Tamandua tetradactyla: one gene and its partners. Each later gene encodes a partner of the first gene's protein in a complex. Links are inferred from orthologs where the notes say so. Each region holds a gene or a part of one and is shown on either strand. Other genes may lie near its edges.

Region 1 (7,486 bases):
AGTGGCGGGAGGTTTACGATTTCCTTCAAACTATAATTGCACAGATGAATGAGGCAAACGCCTTTGTGCCAGTGCAGGAGGTGGCGAGAGCCCTCAGAGCTGGCGCATTCATTGAAACTGGCATTGTGCTGGGGCAATCCGTACGCCCCAGCCATCATAGGGGGCAGTACTTCGGTGGCCGGTCATTGATCTGGGGGTTTTGACCTCAGCTTGGGGTCCTGGAAAGGCCACTTCAGTGTAGCAGCAAGAACACAGGGGCTTTGGAGCCAGTGAGTCTTGGGTTCAATTGCTGCTTCCCCCTCTCCCAAATTATGAGCTACGAGGTGTTGGACGCATAATTTAGTCTGTGTTCTCATCCCTAGAGGATCTGGTGAAGTCATAAGGATAAACTACTCTGCAAACGTGATTTTCCCATGAGTTCACAGAGGTGTCCATGCTCCTGGGGACAGACACGCATTAACCGAGCTCAAGGCGGGCTCATTGATAGACCAATAATTCAATGAATTGGCTTATCTGCGGAGGATACCAGAATCCTCAGGCAGCTCCCCTGCTTGGTGGCCACTGAGAACTTCGTCTCCTCTTCTGCCACATTGGGAAAACAGGGGAACAGCAGTGTGGGGATGATTTTAATAATTAAATGAGATGAAAAAACAAAACATTAGCTCTCTTTCTTTCCCTTTCTCCTCTTTAAAGATCTCTCCTTTAGTGGGGTACATGTGGGAAACCAAACTCAGACCCTAAGGGATACTTTAGCCAAGCCAGGGAAGCCCAGGGCCCAAAGCTCCTGTCCTGGGGATTGGATTACACAGGCCACCCTGGGGCCCCCCTGGATAAAATGCTTTCTCTTTGCTTGACCCTTAAAGAGAACATTCTTTGATCACAACAACTTGGCACATGGACCAGAATTCAAGAGCGCTGGATGTCTAGTTGCTCCTGTCCCACCTTTGTCCCCAGCTCGTGGGGGGCCTGTGGGCCAATCAATCAGCAGCCACACCCCCACGGGCTCTTATGGCTGAGACCCTCCCACACTGTCAACAGGCCACTCATTAGAATTCTAGGTGGGCAGGGCCCACACCCTGACCTCTATGGGGGATCTCTTGCTTGGGGGTCCTGGTGGGGCTTCTGATTGACAACTAACCACATTATCTAAATTTCCATCCACCCCTGAGGGGGTTGGGATTCCAGGCTGTTGCTTCTGCGGCACAACCTGAGTCCTGGTAAGAGACTCTCTGGGACCACCCCTCTCCCCATATTTTCTTTTTTCAAGGCTTTAACAGAAAAACTGGGGTGAAAACATCATTTTCCATCTTTGTGGTTTTCCTGAGCCTTATCAGGATGACATGCAATCTAGGAGATGCTTTTCAGATCAATAACTCTGGTGTATAGTTTAGCTGGGTGGTATAGAAATAACTACATTTAAAAGTCATTTTAGCTTCCCAAAAGCAACTCTCCATATTTCGTTCTTGCCAAGATTTTATTAAAGTAACATTCATTTTTGTACTTACTGATAAAAATAAAGCACATTCTCAATAAAGTATCTGGAAAATACAGACTAACAGAAAGAAATGAAAACTACCCACAGTCCCACTCAAAGATAACCACTGCCAACATTCTTATGTATCTATTTCTAGGAAAAAATAATATTTGTTTGAATACAATAAAAGGCTTCCCTATGTAGACATATATACTTTTCTTTTAGAAACCTGAGACTTACATTTTAATTTCACTTTTCTAAAATATTTCATTTAATAAAATAGATTCATTGTTTTAAAATTTATCATATTATTTAATAACATTCTAGACTTTGAATATATAAATTTTACATAATATAAGCTTCATCTATACATACGTTCTTTTTCAAATTTGGGATCACACTGTAATTTGCTTTTTAAATTTTTTTCCCATTTAAAAAAATTAAGGTATAGCTTACATATTAGTGTATGTACACTATACACACAGATCACAAGCACAGTATACATTTTTTTGCCTGCCTTAGCTTCCTAAATTGTGAATGTCACAAAGCATTCTGTTAATTCCAGCTGCAGTGCAAGTCTCTTTCCCTTGGCCCTTTTTCTTCTTCCTGGTTTTGCGATTTGGGAAATGAACTGGATCAAAGTGAATGAAAACCGGTATTTCCATTTTCCTGGAGGTATACCAAGAGGGGTTTGTCCCTCTTCTGCTTGGAAAACTCACCCTTCCAGCTCCAGCTCAGATGTTGCCTCCTCCAGGAAGCCTCTGAGATGACAGCTGGTGGGTGGGTTCTTCCTTCCTCTAGGGTCCCAGCACACCAGCTCACATGCAGTTTATGGGACAGGCACTATTATAGTCTGTTTATTCGCCTTTTCCCCTCCCGGCTGTGGAGGAGGAGGTGGAGATGTCTAAGTAGAGCCCTGTCCCCAGACCTAGGCCACTCACGCGTGCTCGGCAAATGCTCACTGCAGGAACGGAGGGTCTGTCCTGTTGAATCACATTCTGGTGATTGTGCCTATTTCTTACAAGTCAGGTACTTTTTAATTTAATTTAGCTATTTTTAGGGAAAGGAGAAGGGAAGAAAAAGAGAAATAGAGAGGCTGAAAAAGAAAAAGAAAGGAATGAGAAAGGAGAAAGGAGGAAGAGAAGAAGGGGGAAGGAGGGAGGGTGATGTAGGTTGGACAGCACCACATTCTCCATCTGCCCCCCAAAATCTTCATCCAGGTGTAATTATGGGTTGGACGAATTAGGCCGGTACACCTAAGGAGAGCTAGAATGCCTGCAGGTGGTTTGAAGCTGTCTGTTCCCAGAAAAACATGTTTTAAATCTAATCCATTCCTGCGGGTGTGGACCCATTGCAAATAGAATCCTTTGATAAGGCTACACTTCAGTTAAGGTGTGTCCCACCTCATTCAAGACAGGACTTAATCCTTTCACTAGAGTCCTTTATAAACAGAATGAATACCAAGAAAGAAAAACAAAAAGCCTAGAAGAAGCTGAAAGCAAGGAGACCTTGAAGAGACCAGCAGATGCCACTGTGTCCTGCCACGTGGCAGAGGAGCCAAAGCTCACAGGCATATAGTCTTTGGGAAGAAAGCATCACCTTCATGGTGCCTTAATTTGGACATTTTCATGGTCCCAAACCATCAGGTAGTAAATTCCCATTGTCGAAGCTCACACATTTCATGGTGTCTGCAAAAACAACCTGAGAACCAGGGGTAAACTTCATATTTATGTGTAATCACTCAATACACACTTATCGAATGAAAGGAAAGATGGAGGGAAGGTGTGATACTGGACCCTGGGAGGTAAGAACGTCAGAAGCAGCACCTGTCTCAGCGAGCTCAGAGTCGGGAATCCCGAGAGAAGGGCTCTCTTCTCCCCACCCCACGCAGTCGGGGGGCGTGGCTGCCTTCCTACGGCCGGACAGTCGCCAGCGGTGACCGGCACTGGTGTCCTGACATTTGTTTCGCAAAGTTTGCGCTCCAGGAGTCAAACCCGGAGGGGCAGCGCCTGCTTTTATAGATCAAATCCATCTGCAAGAGCCAGCACAGGACCGTCACAGAGCACGCGTTCAAAAACACCTGCAGAAAGAAGGGTAAAAATGACCACCAGAGGCGAGGGCCGCCCCAGCCAGGCTCTCCACTAGTCCCGCGGCAGGTGGGTGTGAATCACTGCCCCACCGGGGAGACCGGACGCCGAGCCCCAGAGGGGCTGCCCTGGGCGGCCGGGCCCAGGGGCGGGAGCTGACCCGGGCGTGGCCGCCCCAAAGCCCGCATTCTCCCCGCGGCGCCACGCTGCGCCTCCGGGTCTCCCCAGGTAGGGCAGGTAGAGCCCGATCCAGGAGTGTCGCGTGGAAACCGCGTCCTTGTGAGCGCGGTAAGGGCAGGTTCGGAGGAGGCGGCGCTCGCAGGCTCCGACCCCGGCTCTGAGCAGTTCCTGGAGCCCGGGGTCGCTTCTCCACGGGGACCCCACCGCCGCCCGCGCCACCCAGGTGAGTGGAGGAGCGACCAGCGGGAAATGCCGGTGCGCAGCGGCCGCGCACAAAGGCCTCGGGTGTCCCGGAGGCTGGGTGGGGAGGACACATCGGCGGCCCCAAGGCCGAACACACGGCCCCGGAAGGCGAGCGGGAGCCCCGAGCCGCAAGCGCTGAGCCCGGAGCTCGGATCCCAGAGTCGTGTACGCACAGGGACCCTCACCTGGGCGGAGCTTGTAGGGGCGGGGCTGCTGTCGCGCCCAGCCAATCAACGCCCGGAAGACTCCGCCCGCCCCCTACCTGGGCAGGCGGCGCTTGCTCATTGGGTCGCCGGTGCCGCGAGCCCGCCCCCGGCGCCGACGCTCGCGCCGACGTGCCCGACGTCGGGCACGTTGACGCCGGTGACGCGCAGGCCGGGCCCGCTCCTCCTCCGCTCCGCCAGTGTCCGGCCGCCGGCCGGCCTTAGTGACTGGGGGCGGCGGGCCCGGGGCCGCGGGAGTCGGGCGGGCGGGCGGGCGCCGGCCGCGGGCTGCCTTCGTCGGCCCCTGAGCTCGCCGGGAGCGAGCAGCCGCCCGCAGCCGCCGCGGAGCCTCCTCGCCCGCTCCCGCCGGTGACAAGGTGAGGGACCCGGGAGACTGAGGTGGGCTGGGGGCGCAGCGGGCCGGGGTGGTCCCCGCGCGCCCCGGGCCCCGGCGCGGGCAGCCTTTCCGTCCGTGCCGCCGGGCTGCGCCGCCCTTCAGATGTCAGCCCCGGGGGAAGGGTCTGCGTCTCCGGGTGCGCACGGGGCTGGGGGCGAGGCCCGCGGCGCCGGGCCAGGGTGGGAGCGCCGCGGCGAGCGCCCGCGGGACCCCCGGGGGACGCGCCCACTCGCCCCGAGGGACCGGGCGCCGGAGCGACGCGCCGCCCTCTTCTCTGGCCGCAGAGACTCCGGGGGCGGCGACACGGTGGGCGTGAGGGGCGAAGACCTGTGGCTGCTGGAAGCCCCTACCCGGGAGGGCCCGCGTTGTGGGTGGCTCCTGCCACCCAGGGGCTGGGGAGGCTGCGGCACCTGACGCGGGAGGGGAAAGGAGCGCCAGGGGGTTGAGCGCCGTCGGGTGTGCTGTCTCTGACATCTCTCTTTTGGGGGTTCACGGTGGTGACCCGGGATCCAGTCCGGACACCTCAGGAGCAGCCACCCCCCCCACGCCCGGTGGTTATGTTTGAGACGCTTAATAGCCTCATAAACTCACCTTTCACTTTCCCTCGCTTCCTAGCGTCCAGGGCTATATCGACCTGCTATATTTCCATTGTGGAATTTTGTGCGTGTGTGTGTGCGCGCGCGCGCGTGTGCTGAAAACTTACGTAAGTTAGGTTGATTGACCAACCATTGTAGCCATTGAAAAACACCTCTCCCAGCCTTTCAGGAATCCACTTCCTTTCACTGTTCACCAAATCCAGCCCAAGACTTGAGGGAGCGCCGTCAGTCCTTCCCAGTAGCTGACTGCACACATTCCTGGGAAATGCCCGATGGATTTTGTACTTGTCAGTTTTACTGGCTGTCTATGCTCCTTCTGTGTTTTTCCTGCAAAAATGATCAGGTGGCATGTGTTTTGGCTTTCTCTCCCCCACCGGGAAATACAGACAAAACAAAAAACCAGCTAAGAAGCAGGCTTGTTTTCAACAACAACAACAAAAATAGCAGCTTTGCAAGCAGAATACCACAGGGTTGATTCTTTATGTGAAGAGTAGTTCTCTTCAGTCTCTACTCCTTCGCTGGGATATTGTCTGTGTCAGTGTCTTCATCTCATGCCACAGCATTTAGGATTTGCACATGCCTGTTTTCCCGGCTTATGGGGAAAGCCCAGCAATCACATCTGAGAATAATGAGATGGTCACTTCTCATCTGTTAGCTCCAGATACCTATAAGGGAGCAGATTTGGGGCAGTAATTGTTTTATGCATAATAACAGCCTTCTGGGTCTCTTCTTTCAAGATGATGTGTGAGGTGATGCCGACCATCAGTGAAGCCGAAGGCCCCCCCCCAGGAGGAGGTGGGAGCCATGGATCGGGTTCCCCTTCACAGCCAGATGCGGATTCCCATTTCGAACAGTTAATGGTCTCTATGCTGGAAGAGAGGGATCGCCTTCTAGACACACTGAGGGAGACGCAGGAGACGCTGGCTCTAACCCAGGGGAGATTGCATGAGGTCGGCCATGAGAGAGACTCCTTGCAGAGACAGCTCAATACTGCACTTCCACAGGTAGGGTGCTTTCAGTTTGCAACACTATAGGTTTTTCCCATTACTTGGTTTCCTTTTTTTAATGGTGGCACTGCTCATACATTCGATGTGTATTTTGTATAATTAACTACTCATGAAATGTTAGTTTCTGGTGATTGGAAGTCAGATGTAGAAAGTAAATTCCTGAGGATTAAACTTTTCAAGGAGAACAAACTCTGTTTTACTTTAAAGTTATGTAAAAATGCCTGTCATCCTGTTCTTGGTGCAACAGAAGAAACTGATTTGGGAAAGTGCTCTGAAGTTTTTGAGAAAGTGCTTGAAAAGTTTTTGAAAAGGACTGTGAAGCAGTCAAGCTTTGTGGTACTTTCAGGTCTCTTGAACTTTTTTTTGTTTTGTTTTGTTTTTGACAGAAGTGTATTTCCCATGGATTGTATCTTGTATATTTCAATTTCCTGTGAAAGTTAATAGGAAGATAGGATTAATTTCACAGAAAAATAATTGTTTTTACAGCCCACCTTTACTAAAACACCTGTGTTCTGTAAATCCTGCTTGTTTTGGAGGTGGAAGACTAGAGATTGATTCCTTAGTAATTTTTGTGTTGGCAGATGAGAATTCTAAAGCTTAAAGTCACGTGGAAGAGCTTACTCTTGAAGTACGTTACGTTTGAATCCGAGTTTCAAAGCCTTTTCTAGTGAAATTGAATGAGGATTTAATGATGGTATGGGGAGAAAGTTAAAACTAGAAAAGTGTACAGTGACTCACCCAGAGTGTAGTTGGAGCAGTGTGGGTTACTTAGGTGTTTCTGAGATATCTAAGTGCCGTTTTATTTAGCCAGAGAGTGTGCCTTCATGGTGCTTTAAGGTGAACCTGAATAAGCATACATCTATACTTTCATGATGAATCTGTAGTGGTAAATTAATAAATTAATAATTAGTAGCCTTAATGCGTTTCTTGGCTCTAGTCAGTTCTCTTGAAAAATTGATAAGCTAAACATTTGGATTTCCTTTTTAGCAACTAGTTTTTCATGTTAATGCTATATATTCCTTTTTTGTTGGATTGAAGAATCACTAAGTTTTTTTTTCTGGTTAGAATCTTCTAAATTGCCAGGTTTGTTTAGATAAGATTTTATTATCATATACCTAAAAGAGTTGGCCAAATTATCATGTTTTATTAGTATTTTATTGTATTTGAAACTCTTTTCAGTATTTTTTAATAATGGTATTTGTTTTCATGTGATGTGAGCTGCATATAGTGAAGTGTTTTTTTAAAGAATGTACACAAAGGACATAAAAGAGAGTGGGGGTGAGTCTCATGCGGCAGCAG
Region 2 (7,860 bases), on another chromosome or scaffold:
ATGTGGGGAATAATCAGATAACCAGCAAATCTGGGTTGCAAGAAAGGAATGATTAAACAAGACTGTCTTCTTGAAGTGAGATATTGTGCCTACTTCTAACGTGTCTCCACAGACAAGAAGGGAATAATATCAGTGGTGATAGCTGAATAGAGGTGTATCTTCCAGGTAAAGGCAATTAAAATGGTGTCCCTGTTATCACTGACACTATGTTCAGAATCAGGCAGACTAAGCAACAGTTTCTTTTAGAAGGAATTCCAGGACTAAGCTTGTTTCATTTGGATTTGGGTTTATGATTTATATTCCATATGCCCAACCCTGTCTGTGTTTGGTGGTAACTGGGATGAGAACAATCTTAGGTGGCCAGATCCATTGTGATCACTCCAGTCTAGTATTTTTGAACTTCTGAAGACCTAGTTCATAGTAGATTTAAGAGTTTTAAGCAACTGATAGCATTTGTTCATCTATTCATTCATTCAGTGAATTTTTATTGAGTGTCCACAGGCCAAGGCATTACGCTTGACTCCATAAAGATGTAAAAATGAAACAAATTGGTATTCTACCATCAAGGACTGTAAAGAACAGAGTGAGGAACAAAAACCATGTGAAAAATAAGAGTAGTGGTTCAGTGGTAGAATGCTCACCTTTCGTGCGGGAGACCCGGGTTCAATTCCCGGACCATGCATTCCCCCCCCGCCCCCCACAAAATAAGAGTACAGTTGTTTTATGCCATAAAAAAAGGAACATCTGTTTACTGATGACCTATTATGTGTCAGACAATTTAACCTGAGACCTTGTGTCTGATACCTCATCAGATCCTCAAGCAACCCTGTGAGGTGGTTTTTAGTATTCATCTTCACATTCAGCATGAGGAAATAGACTCAAAAAGTGGTTTGAGATCTTGCAGCCTGATTTCAAAACCAGGCCTGACCTTCTTTAAAGCCCACACTCTCACTCCCCATATCTGCCTTGAACTGTAATAAGTCATTTATGTTTTAGGAGAGGGAGCTATTACTTCCAGTTAAGGGTTCAGGGAAGTCTTGTGGTAAAAGTGTCTTTGAACTAGGCCTTGAAGATAGGGCATAAAGATGTGAAGAAAAGGGCAACAGTCAAACATTTTTTAAAACTTTTTATTGTAGGAACATGTACAGCTCAAAATTTCCCATTTTAACCACTTCTGAGTGCTAAATTCAGTAGTGCTAATTACATTCATGATATTGTGCTGACATCACCAGTAATCATTATTCCAACTTTTTCATCACCTCAAACAGAAACTCTGAACTCACTAAGCAATAGGCAAAAGTCATTCTTTAACTGAGAAGACAGTATCAGAGAATATGGCTATGTAGTATGAGTATGAGGAAGTGTGGACTTTGAGTTTAGAAATGTAAGTTGAGGATGGGGATGGAAATTCTGGATGCAAGTCCAGAATTTAGGCTTTGTTCTCTGGGAAGAGGGAGGCAGTTAAGTGTTTTGAAAGGAGTTGAGTGATCTGGGCTGTACTTAAGAAGCATGCACCCAGAAGCCTGTAAAGATAGACAGTAAAATGACATGAACTTGACGAGTTGGGTGAGCATCTAAACAAACTAAGTAGGGACTGTGTTTTCATGCTTACACAAGTTGGGGATGAAGTTACAAAAGGAGCCAACTTTTTCTCTCTTCTTCCAGAGGGCAGAACTGGAGCCTTTGGGGAAAAAGTCAGAAAAGCAGTTTCCAGCTGGCCATGAGAAAGATCTTTAATGATGAGCTGCTTTCCTAGCTTGTGTGCTCCTTGCTGTCAGATAAATTCAAGCAGGGATTAGAAGGCACCCTGTCAGGAATACTATAGCAGGGGTTCTCACTCCAAAAGGTCAAGATGACCTTTAGGGCCCATTTCAAGTTCTGCCTTTGTTATTCTGTGCAGGTTTTCTCCTGCTTTTGCAGTGTACTTTTGCTAACTTTTCAGCTGCCCATCAGGTATCCTGTCTTGCTTCTGCTACAGTGTCCTGATCCCTTGGAGTTTCCTCAAGAGACCCAGAGGCCAGTGGTTTAATATACTTTTTTTTAAGTGTTAGAACCACTTTTTAAAATGAAACATGACAGGGAAAGGCTGGATGTAAAACAGGTAGGAGCCAAGCTACTTTAACTCTGATTAAAGGGAGAAGGGGAAGGGAGCTTGAAATCTCACCCATTGGTTCCTTTTTCACCCCTACCACGTAACCCCTGATTTGAGCACTACTGCTCTAGACTTCCCTGTTTTCAGCTTTCCTCAAGTCTTTTGTGTTTTAAACTCCGATGGCAGCTGTTATCACTCCAGCTGCAGAGGGAATGGGAGGCGACTTCCTGTTATTCTATCCTGCCATCCTTTTGGGGGTGGGACAGTCCCTCCCTCATCTCTTGCTGCTGGTTGTAGTTTCTGGAGAATGTGAGCTGTGAGTGAGATGCAGCCATCCTAAGACTGGGGCTGGAGGAATGCTTGGTAGCAACCCAGCAGCTATTTGAAGGGATTTGGGGAGCAAGGCAGACGAGAGGCACTGATAGACTAGTGTGTCCCAGAGAGTGAGGGAAGAGGAATTATGAGTGACTCTAAGGGACAGGTTAAATGGGTGGTTGGTCCAGAAGATTATCTGAGGAAGTTACATTGAATGAATGGTGAGAGGCTGGGGGAAGGGAAGGGTTCTAGTGGAAGCATAAAAAGAAAGAGAAGATAGTTGAAGTTTATGACTAAGAGAGTATTTGAGTGAGGACAGGGAGCATTTAAGGAATCCAGGCTAGTTAGAAGTGATATAAGGATCCATTATCTGTAGCCCACTTTAGTATTTGGCCTTTTCCACGAAATGGGCATAAGGAATAGAAAGAGGTTATTAAGCACAGAGCTTGCTGTTCAGGATATGGGAAGACATGAAATGGGTATAATGAGACATATATTACCATGTATTACACATCTGTACAATCTCAATAATGCTTACCATAACCTTTGTAGTATCATCAGCCCCATTTTTATAGAGATTCAGAATGGTTTAGTGACTTGTCCAAGGCCACACAGGATCTAAGAGGCAGAGCTGGGAGATGGACCCAAAACCCTATTTCTGTCTACTGTAGTACACAGCCAGGGCATGGTGGAGGACAAGGACTTGAGCTGGGCTTTGAGGGAAAGGTGGGACTAACTACATGGAAGAGTGGGTATTCAGTTAGGCCAAAAGGTGAGAACCAAGCATGGAACTGAGTAGACCTTATTAGTCTGCAGCAGAGGGTTTCTCAGAGTAAAGTGGGAAATAAAATGGGAAAGGTAAATAGATACCAAATTAGGGAGAGTTTTAAATGGCTAGAAAAGAGTCGCAGGGAAAGGGGGACCAGATTTGGAGGGGAGGATGTTGATGACAAAACCAAACATTGTTTTAGAAGACTCACCTGGTAGCGGTGCATATAAAGAATTAGTGATGGGGAAAAGTGGAGTAAGAAATGTAGGTTAGGAGTTTGGGATAGTGTAAGTCTGAACAGAAAACATGATGGTAATAATGTAAAATAAGGTCTGTGACAGCAGTGGCCTGGGTCTGTAGATTTTTTTTTAGTATGTGGTGTCTGAGAGGTATAGATAATCAATACTTTAGATATAAAAAGAAAAAATGCCTTTGGAGACAAGCAGACATTGTTTCCATTCCAGTTCTGGGTGAACAGGGGCAATTTAGTTAGGTAACCTGTCTGAGCCTTTGATTCCTTGTTAATATGGAGGTAACAAGGATGATTATAAGGGTTAAATAATACACATTGCCAACGCTTTTGTCCCTCTACAATTTTTTTTTGGCAGAATGGTGAAATATATGGTGTGTTGTCATCAATTAAAAAAATAAATAGCACCAAAAAGTAATTCATTGTACTTCAAAATGATAGGTAGATAGTATGCTACCTTACAGATAAAGCCACTTTTCACCATTCAGTTCTGCCTTGAAGCAGCTATTATGTAAATTGAAAGAACCCTCTCCTGGGAATCTTTTTGTTTATAAGCCAAGGGGATTATACAGCATGATATCCGTCAAAGATCAATGTCAGCTAATTCTTAATTGATAGTTCAGCTACTCCAATAGGTTCTATTGAAGTGTAATTATTCTCATGTGATTTGTTGAAATGAATTGTGTCCCCATTCCCATCCCTCCTGCCCCCTCTCAGTTAGGCATTAAAACAGCAGTAGAGTCCCTAAAAAGGTAGGTAGTAATTTTTTTCTTACCCCAGAGGTTCAATTTTATTTGCTTGGAAGCTTGTGTGGTGTGATTTTATTGCTGAAAGAAAAGCAGCCACATGGTTGATAACGCCGCCACCAGTGAACAATTCAGAGCTGAGTCGCCGTTTCTAGGATTCACTTTCAAATCTTTCCAAAGGCTTTTGAAGTTCCACGTTCTCATTCTAAGGGAACACCCACCAGTCCCAAGATAAAAGGGGAGAATGAAGAGCTGGCGTTTTCCTTTATTTGCATGAGTAAAGCAAGCCATTTTCTGCACCACGCGCCGCTGGAATCGTACTTGCCCGTGACAGAGGCATTTTTTTTTTCCCCTTAACAAGGGGGCTTAGTTTCGTTTCTGATCTGGCATATAGTAAATATGCCAAGAAAGTTTAAAACTCGATCTGCAAGGGCTTCCTTGTATCATTATCTCCATTCTTTAGAGATAGCAGGGAAGGCAGCATTTTTTTTCCATCAACACCCACTTCCAGCCGAAGTCTCGCTCAGCAAGGAATGTATAAAATAAGTTGACTCCCCTGAGTGACTTTCCCTGGGTCCAATCAGCCGGAGCCCAGGCGCTGCCACCACCCCGCCCTTGCTAACTCTCTTTGGCTAATTCTTGGAGGGAGGGAGGAGAGAAGGCGACAGTGGGAGGGGGAGGTACCTGGAACTGGGAGTGATGTCAGCTCCCAGCGCGGTGCTGGCCCGGATTCCTGACATGGTGCAGGGGAGAGAGGGTGGGGAAAGGCTGGAGCGCGACGGCAGAGGAGTTGTGTAGGGCGAGCCTGCGCCGGGGACGGAGTGCTGGGACTTTGAACTCCGAGGGAAGGTGAACCACAACTTTTGGAAGTAGTGCCGGCGGCTCACCACCCCTCTAGGTAAGGGTGTTTTGCTCCACTTGGGGACGGGAGGAAAGTGGCACCGTTGTGTGGTTGCAGCTGGGTGTTGCAGCTGCCCCTCCTCTTCCCAGGCTGAATTTCCTTTTCCAACTCTCCTGTTTCCCAATGGTAACGGGCACTTTGGGGGGCCGGGGTGGTGGTGGCTTCGAACTAGCCTATATGTGAAAAATACCACAGGATTGGACATGTAAGGTCTCCTCTGTGTTCCCCACACCCTGGTCTCCCAATAGTATTTGAAAACCCCAATCAGAGAAGTGTTTATGGATCAGTGATTCAAATATTATGGTCTTTGAGAGAAAAAAAAAACACTTTTTTTTGTGTGTGTATTTTCAGTTCGCCCATGGCCTTTTATATACCAATATAAATAAAAGAATATCAGCGTTAAACCATCCCTTTATATATTCCAGGCAGGATGTGAGAAATTTATTTGGGGTGTATTATGAGTTTGTGGGAAAAACTGGTTTCTTGGGGGGGGTTACACCTCTAAAACACCAATTCTTCAGATCTTATTCACGCTTACAATTTTTTTTTTTTAATTCGTGCTTACATTTTAACAGAGAATCCCTTTCAGTTGCCAACTTTGTGATCTGGAGGGGTTAAGAAAGCTGCTGAGAATCTTCAGATCTGTTTCCTGTGGTTGCTTGAGAAAAGAATGAGGGCTGTAGTTGTGTTTTCAGGGAGCATTTTTAGAGAAGGGAATTTTAACAGGGAAATGTGGTGGAAGGCGTGGCATACAAACTCTTAATTATAGGAACATGAACTTTCCAACTTGTGGGACCAGAACAAGTCCTTCCTTTCAACAAGAACTGCAAATGGCAATAGAAAAAGAACTTGATTTAAAATTCTTTTGATTTAAAAGTCCAAGTTTGGTATTTAGGGAGAGCAGTTGCCTGTCTGGGGGAAAAGGATTATTTTGAGAAGTGAAAGACTAGAATTCTGATTTTTAATTGATTGCTTATTTCCTGTTTCAAACCTTTTTTTTCCTTTTTCCTACTTGCAGATTTGTGTGTCCAGGGCACTGAATGGGTGTGATTGACTTTTTTGGTGGTGTGTGTGTGTGTTTGTACATAAATTGATTGAGAACCTTTAGTCAGTGCTTAAGGTTCTTTATTTTGGAGAAGAAAAAAACCAGTATGGACTGAGACTCTTGAGTTGGGTTTTCCCTTTCTTTCCCTGCAATTGCTTAGATAGTGGTGATCCCCCAGTCGCCAGGTCAGTAGGAATGGGCATGGACTTCATTGTGAGGCAAAAGCTATATCCCAGACGCCTGAAGGAAAGGGCAGTTCTAGGAGATGTGGAAAGAAAGAAGCTCCAACGTTGTGTCTAATAAACCTAAGTCAGGAAGAGTGCAGATAGGGGACTTTATGGGTGGGGTTCTTCATCTTTCTAGCCAGATGACAATTAGATTTCAGAACTAAAAAAAAGTGATCTTGTTTCGCTATTGTTTATAAAACATGTGGGTCTTGTTATTAGTTATTGTTACTGCTTTTCATTCCTGAAAACAATAAATAGCGTAAAGTGGATAAAGAGCAGGCTTTTTGAAAAGGGAAGGTGCTTCGTGGAACAGTGAGCACATTTCAATTTTGGGTTGTGTTTTTGGGCTAATGAACAGAAATTGCTAATGATTCTGAAGTAATACAGAGCAAGTCTTTTCTATTTATGTACTATAGGAAGTACTAAAACATATTGTATTTTCCAGTGTACTTTTTCAGTAGGAAAGAAAATGAGGTGATGTGGAATTCCTGTGGGCAAATGTGAGCTCACTGGAACCTTGGCTGATGGAGTGTTCAAATGCTAGTCGGTCTAACTGAGGAATGGAGCTGCAAAAACCAGTCAACTGAAGACTGCTTTCAGAAGGTTATGTAGCTGGGCCAAATTCTGATTGATACTTTCTTTCCAAGAAGCTAGTTCTACCCTAAGAAACAATATATCAAAGCTTTAAATTTCATTCAGTTTGAGTAATAACATTAAGTTTATGTAATTAATTTGAACCAATATTTCTCTTACTCTGTGTTTATGAGGCAGATGTGGTATAATAAAACATGGTACTTTCAAAGAACAAAACTTGAAAGAGAACAATGTGACCAGGCTTTGGTTAAATTCTCTTTGACCAGCAACTATTATAATTGCAGTAGCTGTTTTAATAATTAGGATAACCTGGCCCTTAGGGACAAATGTTGGCTTGAAATCTCAGGATACACTGTAGTTTCAAGTCAGTAGTGTTTAATTACAAGGGCATCATAGACAGTCTTTGGAAACAAGTTCATTGAGGGAGTTAGTTTGTTTACATAATCTTTTGTCACTACTGTAGCAGTGCATAGAGCAAGGTCATTTTCTCCCCCTCAGTTACTGACTAGCTTTCATATTCATAAAATATTTGTATTTTTCTAGTTAATTTACATTATGTTAATAATTTGTTACATTAAAAATAACTGAGGTTTTCATCTCCGGTTTAAAAAATTATTATCTACATCCTAAACAGCTTGATTTTCCAGCTGTTAACTGAGAGAAGACCTTGTTGAGCATTCTATCTTTTCAAAAATATTATTGCAGTTTCTGGCCTGGTTTGAGTTACCTTTTCAAAACAGTTAATGAATGAATATCCTATTCTTGCTTGGATCTGTGTCCTGATTCTTCATTATGGAAATGCTGCTATAAGGTGAAAACATAAGCAAGAGGAAGTGCATAATAATTATTAAAAAAAAATTACTGAGATGTCCCTAGAAAGTCATTGGTCCTAAAATTAAAAAGAAAAAAAATCAACACTCA
Region 3 (7,304 bases), on another chromosome or scaffold:
AAATATCTAATGATCCCTGGGTGTCTGTTCATATTTAATGAGGCAGTTGGAATGCTGATTATAAGTCATGTGAACTTGGGAGGGTCATGCCAACTTGTCCAAAATCATTTGTTAGGAAACCAGCTATTGTGCCAGAATGAAGAATGCTTTACTCTTTAGCACCCATAAAAGTTGTCCACTCTCTCTCAAAGCCCAAATCTGCAAGTGAAATAATTGCCCCCCTCACCATGTGGGACACGCCATACCAACGTAGGGGTGAAAGTCCTTCTGATGGTGTGGAAGATGAATTCCAGGGATGATGAGCCTAGCCCTGGCACCCTGGGATCAACAATGCCATCCTGATCAAAATGGGAAAAAGAAGTGTAGCAAATAAGCTATCAGTGGCTGACACAGTTCAAATAGAGTGGGGAGGCTACTCTGGAGGTCACTCTTACCAAGCTTCAGTCAGACATTGCTACCTATCATAGTTTGCCAACCCCAACCAAAACCATTCCAGCCAATCTTAAAGAACAGCTAGGGCATTATACAAGATTCTACAAAGCTTCCATGCATTAAGGGTAACTTTCTAGAAACCTACAACTTCTGAAGTGCAGAGCGACCAGCCTCTCCAGAACATCAACTAGTTCCAACCCTCTATCCCATATTATTGACAGTCCCTTCCAACATAAAAAAGTTGGAGTGGGCATAGCTGAAATATCCCTAGAGAGTGGGAAAAAGATTAAAGGTGATGGTTGAGTTATAGAGAGAATTTAGGGTTTAAAAAATGAATATGATTGCTGATTCATTGCATAGATATTTCTTTTAGTCTCCAGTATCTTAGAGCAGTGTGCTGGTTTGAAAGGATGTATGCCCCCTAGAAAAGCCATGCTTTAATCAAAATCCCATTTCATAAAGGTAGAATAATCCCTATTCAATACTGTATGTTTGAAACTGTAATCAGATCATCTCCCTGGATGACGTGATTTAGTAAAGAGTGGTTGTTAAATTGGATTAGGTGATGACATGTCTCCACCTATTTGGGTGGGTCTTGATTGGTTTATTGGAGTCCTATAAAAGAGGAAACATTTTGGAGAAAGGAGATTCAAAGAGAGCAGAGACCGACATAGCCATGAGAACAGAGAGCCCACAAGCCAGCGACCTTTGGAGATGAAGAAGGAAAATGCCTCCTATGGACCTTCATGAAACAGGAAGCCAGGAGAGAAAGTAGCAGATGATGCCTTGCTCACCAAGTGCCCTTCCAGCCGAGAGAGAAACTGTGACTGTGTTTACCATGTGCCTTTCCAGATGAGAGAGAAACCCTGAATATCATCAGCCTTCTTGAACCAAGGCATCTTTCCCTGGATGCTTTTGATTGGATATTTCTATAGACTTGTTTTAATTAGACATTTTCTCGGCCTTAGAACTGTAAACTGGGAACTTATTAAATTCCCCCTTTTTAAAAGCCATTCTGATTCTAGTATATTGCATTCTAGCAGCTAGCAAACTAGAACAAGCAGTTAGAAGTAAAACCCTAAAATTGTGGAATTGTAACCCATACCAAACACTGAAATCTGTTCTGCAACTAATTGTTGTGATGTGCTTTGAAATTTATGCTTTTTAATATATATGTTATATTTTACAAATAAGAAAAAAAATGAAGTTCACCCAGAGACCATGCCAAAAAAAAAAAAGCTGTCAAGATCTCCTTAAAGAGTGTTAGAACGCTTGAATTTCTAACCTGGGACAAATGTTTGCCATTGCCTCTGAGTTACGGGGAGGGTGGTAGTGGTAGTGGTGTTCTCCTGGTTGATATGCATACATTTAATCTCCTGTTTTCAACCCTGCTTCTTGCTCCTGCTGTCTACTTGTGGGTACTTCTATACCTCAAACTCTCTAAAGCACCTTACTTTGTTGGTAGGACCCAGTCCTTGGCAGCAGTATCCATTCTACATTATGGTTCCCCCATTTGGCTTAACACTTTCTGTATGTTAAGATTAAAAAAAAAAATTTCCTTCTTCTAATGGCTGTCTTCTTATTTTCTATTTTGTGTGGGTTTGTAACAATTTAATGGGGTCTTAGGAAGAAGAGGCAATAAATGCATCTACTTACTCAGATAGCCAGTTTTAATAAAAAAATCATAAATGTAGATTTAAAAAAGGTATCTGGGGGGTACATGGGTAGTTCAGTGGTTAGAATGCCCGCCTTCCATGCAGGAGACCTGGGTTCAATTCCTGGACCATGCACCCCAAAAACAAGGTATCTGGGGCAGGGAACGGAATAAGAAAAAACCACCAGTGCAGTGGCAAAAAAATTAATAAATAAAAATAATTTTTTTTTTGTGATATGACAGAGTTCCTGTATGTAACTTAGTGCTCAGCTCTTTTTTAACGCAATTTTATTGAGCTATATTCACAAACCATCTAATCATCCAAAGTGTACAATCAATGATTTACAATATCATCATACAGTTGTGCATTTATCACCCCAATTTTTGAACATTTTCATTACTCCAAAAACAAAGAGTAAAAATAAAAAAGAATATCCTAAATGCCACATACTCCTTATTTCCCCCTATAATTTATTTACTTACTCCCCTCATTTTTTTACTCATCTGTTCATATACTGGATAAAAGGAATGTCAGTCACAAGGTTTTCACAATCACATGGTTACACTATAAAAGAATGCTTAGCTCTTAACTCTTCAGAGCCACACATTCTGGGGATATGATGGATCTCAGACATTTAATGCAAATCCCATTTTTACATTTGAGAAAAGTAGAACCCAGAAGTAAAGTAATTGGCCCAAGGTCACACAGGTAGGCAAGGGCTGAAGAGAAACCAGAATGATAACTTGACTCAGAATTTACTTTTTTTTCTACCTCACCACACTGTTGGGATGAGCAGAGGGTCAGATGATAAAGGCCTTGAAAAATAGTCAAAGAAGGATGGATTTTCCTAGGTAAAAAGTTTGATTTCTAAGAGAATGAAATATTTTAGGATGATTATTTAGTGGCTATCTCGTCTCCTTCTCTGGCAGCACACAGTCTGACAACTGGCAGCCATATGTTGGATGCACTGAAGGGGGAAACTGAACAGCAGGGCCAAGAACTGGAAAGATCCAAGTGTATGGTGATCCCGGAAGGGAACAATCAGAGAGCCTGGGCAGGGTGAAACAGTAAATTTGATGAGTGACTGAATGCAAACACTGCGGAGAGATGTGGGACTATGAGGGGTAAAATGATGACTTTTAACTCCTCTCATCTCAAGGGCATTTAAAATTATTTTAATAAACACCGGAGGGCTGGGAATAAATATAATTCCCACCATCTTTACTTTTCTGGTTCTGATATAGTTTACCTACATCTTGAAATTAATGGCTGCAGCTAATCTCTCTGCATTGCTCCTACAAAAGAAAAACGATTACAATTCTGTACAACCAAATTAGTTGCCTGAAATACGGTATCGGGTGTGTCTGGTCGACCCTCGGAGTTGCTGGGAGAACGAAATAAAACCGTTAAGATAGCACAGTATTTGGCACATTGCAGAGACAGAATGTGAACCTTAATTTCCGCATAAGCTCTCTTCGTCTATGTGGCTTAACTAGGAGGAAAAATGACTTGCACTGGCGTGGGTCTTCTGCGATGCCCAAGTTCGTTCCTTAGGGCCATGAACACAGCTTCAAATTTCTCAGATCGTATTACTACCTCCTGCGACAACATTTCGCAAAAGCCAAGGAAATTAAGTAGGGCGGTGGGCGGAAAAATCCAACTTCCCTTGGATAAACAGTACCCACTGCAGGAGTTCGGGCGCAGCCGTCAATCAACTGACAATCCTAGAGCTGCTCCCCAAGACTGTGACTGACCCGAGGTTTGTGTAACGGGCTCCGCAGAGGAGGGGGTGGGGCGACTAAGGTTTGGGAAAGAGACTCTAATTCTCTGGCTTCCAAGCGATCCACTTCCTACGGCAAGCAGAAGGAGACAAACGCCGCCTCCCCTCACTCCCACCTACCGCCTCTTCCTGGTGCTCGGCCTCGGAAGCCGTGTGTAGGGTGTGTGTGTACGTGTGTATGCTCCGCGCCCGTTATTCTGCCTCGGCGCCCAGTCCCGCCATAGCCCTGAGTCACCTCGGCTTCCTCTTCCCTGACCCACCTTCCCCTAGAAGGCGCTGAAGGCCTGCAGGACGCGGGACCCGCTCTCCGAAGGCAGAGAGGGTAGACCCAGGGGGAGGAGGCGCTCCTGGAGCCCAGCTGCCCGGGGGGTTGGGGGCGGGGCTAGGTGTCTCGCGAAGGGGGCGGGGCGCGTGACGTCGGCGGGCGCCTGGGCCGTGCCGTGGCTGTGGTGGTGGCGGCGGCGGCGACGGCGGTGGCAGTGGTGGCGGCGGCGGTGTCGGAGCCTGGGTGGCAGCGGAGCAGCTCATAGGAGGGTGAGACGGCCGCGGTAGTGGCAGCTCGGAAGTCAGGAGGGACCTAGAGCTTCCCGTCTGTCGCTTGTTCTGAGGCTTTTGCCTTTTCCTACCCGGCTTCTTCCTCCCGGCCCTGGCTAGGGCAGGGCTGAGCGCCCTCGGGGAGGGGCGGAGCTGTAGGTGAGGCTTCTGGACCCCTTCCCCCTCCTTTTCCCACCGGGGGGATGGGGAAGGCTGGGGACTGACAGACCCCACCCTAACCCACCTTAGCCCACCGGCGGGCTCCGCCCGGCTGAGCTCCGGGATTGGGCGGGAGCTGAGGCGATAATATGGAGAACCCGGGCCAAAGGTGGGAAATGGGGGCTTTAGGCACTTGGAGAACCGAGGGTGGAGGGTTAATGAGGCGTGTTGTTGAGGGCGAGGTTGTGGGGAGACGGAGAAATTGGTGAGCCACGAGATTGGGGTGCGGTCAGAGTAGATCTGGGTCTAGGTGACCGATATAAAATACTGGAGAAGGTGAGGATTCTTTTTGAGTGTGTATGTATGTTTAAATGGTGAGATAGGAGATGAAGGTTGTATTTCAACAGAAAGATTAACTGTGCATGTTGCCTCTGAGGCAGTTGGAGAAGCTATGGCACATGATCTCACATTTCTCCTTTAGGGTTTTGGTTATTTTTCTTTTTTTTCTCCTTGTGGAATGGGGGTTGAAGAGGTAGGGTCCGGGAGGGAAGAGAATCCCTTTGCTTTGGCTTGGGGTGGGTAACTAGTGGGTGTGGGTAGAGCTGAAGTTTTATACCCAAAAAAGAGTGAGATCTTGGGTTAAACAACTTCACTCTGGCAGCAACCATTAGGGAATAGGTCGCATTACGCTTAGATCCTTAAAGGGATTGTCATCCATTCTTTTTTCTGTACCTAAAGATCTCTTTATACTACGTTATTTGTAAGCTTTTACCTGGTCCCTTAAGAGAAGGCCTTAGGATCAGGTAGTTGCATTGGAAGACACATTTTTGAGTAATAGTTGCAGGTGGTTTTGGTTGAGTGTACTGAGTGAATAAAATGAACAAATGAACGGTTCATTTTCAAAATGAATAATTTGAAAAATTCTTAAATTTTTAAAGCTCAGCTGTCTTTTACAGCTCCTTTTTTTAGTAGACTTTGACATTTTGTGTTCAACACCAATTAATGGAGACTTTTTATTTCTCAATTGCATGTGTGTATATCGTCTTCATTATGCACTTTAAAAATGAAATGGAATTTTTTTTTTAGGTAGGCCCCTGAGTTTCTTAGAAATGTCCTTGGAGCCATGTGCTTTTAAAATGCTCTTTAATAACATTCTGGGATATTGTCACCTTCATGAATAGATATTACTAAGAGTAAACAGTGTTGTTCACATCCATGTTTCACAATTTACTCGACATAGTAAAACAGAATCTTCTTTTCTGGATTCTTGCTCCTTATTCGGTTCAAGTACTTGCTGACCTTATTTGCTAGTTTTGTATCACCTGAACTATTTCTTGCTCACAAAAAAGATCCTGTGATAGACATGTATTGTGTGGAAGCAGGCATAACTCTCATTAATTCATTTATGGAGGAAGAGAAACTGTCATGAAAGAATTTAGCAATGACTTTATCAAGCCTTAACCAGTTTATTTGGGAAAGTAGCCAGAGAAGTGCTGTCCTGTAACCCAAGAGAGAAATATACAGAGTTTCAATAGTTGCAGATCTTTGCTTTTTCTAAGTGCCTGCTAATGAGCAGAACACGGATATCTTCTAGCAAATACTTCTGCTTGTGAAGACTTATGGGAAACACATAAGAGCATATACGATATAATAGCTATTTAGTGAGAAAGGGTGTGGTCCAATGTATACTTATAAATAAGAGATTTAAATAGCTATATTCAGAGAGATCAAATTAATACACTGAATAGTTTTGATTTTGGATTACTTAGAAAAATTAAAATTCACATACAGTTTTGGCCTTTGAATTATACTTTAATTTAATTGGGTATGTGTGAGGGCAAATGGGAACTAAGATACCAGGTAAAACTTTTGGGTGTGTACTGCTAAAATAACATTTGAATGTCTGACAGTGGGATGTGAGTCTTCCCTTGTGGGAATGAGATCATGAGATTTGGGGGAAAGTCTAAGGTGAAATTGACCTATTTCTGTTTCACATTCCTTGTGCCTGAAAAAAAGACTACATTTTATTTTTTAAGAAAGTGTCACTTGCTAGTCATTACTGTCATCCTTGGGTCTCCGAGTCTGCTGAGATGTTCTGTATTCTTCATTACTAAAGTCATATAAATATGTCAGTCTGTTAATTCAGCATTAATACTGGCCACCTCAAAAGTTAAGATTCTCATAGCAATAGCCGCTCATTTTCTATATCACATTTATGCTTTTAGAAGTAGTGTAAGAGCACTTTATTGTGTGTTTTACACATTGTATTGGAAACCTTGATTATCAGAACAAGATCAGGGAATGAGGCATTTTGGTTAATCAAATTATCAATACATTGATTATCAACTTTGAGGGAAATTAATGAAATAAAATACATACTTGACACAAAAATGGGGAGCACATCTGAGGAGAGATATAAGTTAAGGGAGATGTCTAGGATGAAGTGAAAAATTTGGTTGTCAACTTATAGATGGTATTTAAAGTTATGAGATGGATCGATAGCCAGGGAGTAAATTTAGCTGGAGAAAAGATCCCAATATCTGAGCCTTGGGCACTTATCCATTCAATTATTCATTCAATAGCTATATTGAGCATGATTCTAGCTACTTTTTTAGGTATTGGGGATTCAGCATTGAACAGAACTGACAAAAGTTCATACCATCTTGAAACTAACTTTGTTGATACATTCCACCGAAGGAGATTTAAGAGTCCTTTCAGTTAAGAGGAAAAGTAGGGGAGTGTGA

What was found.
Region 2: PPFIA1 (region 1) and PPFIBP1 share a complex: the UniProt entries of both Homo sapiens proteins name them as parts of the cortical microtubule stabilization complex. The link is inferred for Tamandua tetradactyla from reciprocal best matches to the Homo sapiens genes PPFIA1 and PPFIBP1.
Region 3: PPFIA1 (region 1) and ERC1 share a complex: the UniProt entries of both Homo sapiens proteins name them as parts of the cortical microtubule stabilization complex. The link is inferred for Tamandua tetradactyla from reciprocal best matches to the Homo sapiens genes PPFIA1 and ERC1.

What each region holds. Positions count from the first base shown.
Region 1 is NC_135335.1:4,371,049-4,378,534, reverse strand, and holds the start of PPFIA1 (liprin-alpha-1), read left to right. Parts: upstream 1-4,474; 5' UTR 4,475-4,564; intron 4,565-5,917; coding exon 5,918-6,184; intron 6,185-7,486. UniProt on the Homo sapiens protein: May regulate the disassembly of focal adhesions. May localize receptor-like tyrosine phosphatases type 2A at specific sites on the plasma membrane, possibly regulating their interaction with the extracellular environment and their association with substrates.
Region 2 is NC_135333.1:90,538,122-90,545,981, forward strand, and holds the start of PPFIBP1 (liprin-beta-1), read left to right. Parts: upstream 1-4,851; 5' UTR 4,852-5,070; intron 5,071-7,860. UniProt on the Homo sapiens protein: May regulate the disassembly of focal adhesions. Did not bind receptor-like tyrosine phosphatases type 2A.
Region 3 is NC_135333.1:63,459,318-63,466,621, reverse strand, and holds the start of ERC1 (ELKS/Rab6-interacting/CAST family member 1), read left to right. Parts: upstream 1-4,295; 5' UTR 4,296-4,401; intron 4,402-4,439; exon of another isoform or gene 4,440-4,560; intron 4,561-7,304. UniProt on the Homo sapiens protein: Regulatory subunit of the IKK complex. Probably recruits IkappaBalpha/NFKBIA to the complex. May be involved in the organization of the cytomatrix at the nerve terminals active zone (CAZ) which regulates neurotransmitter release.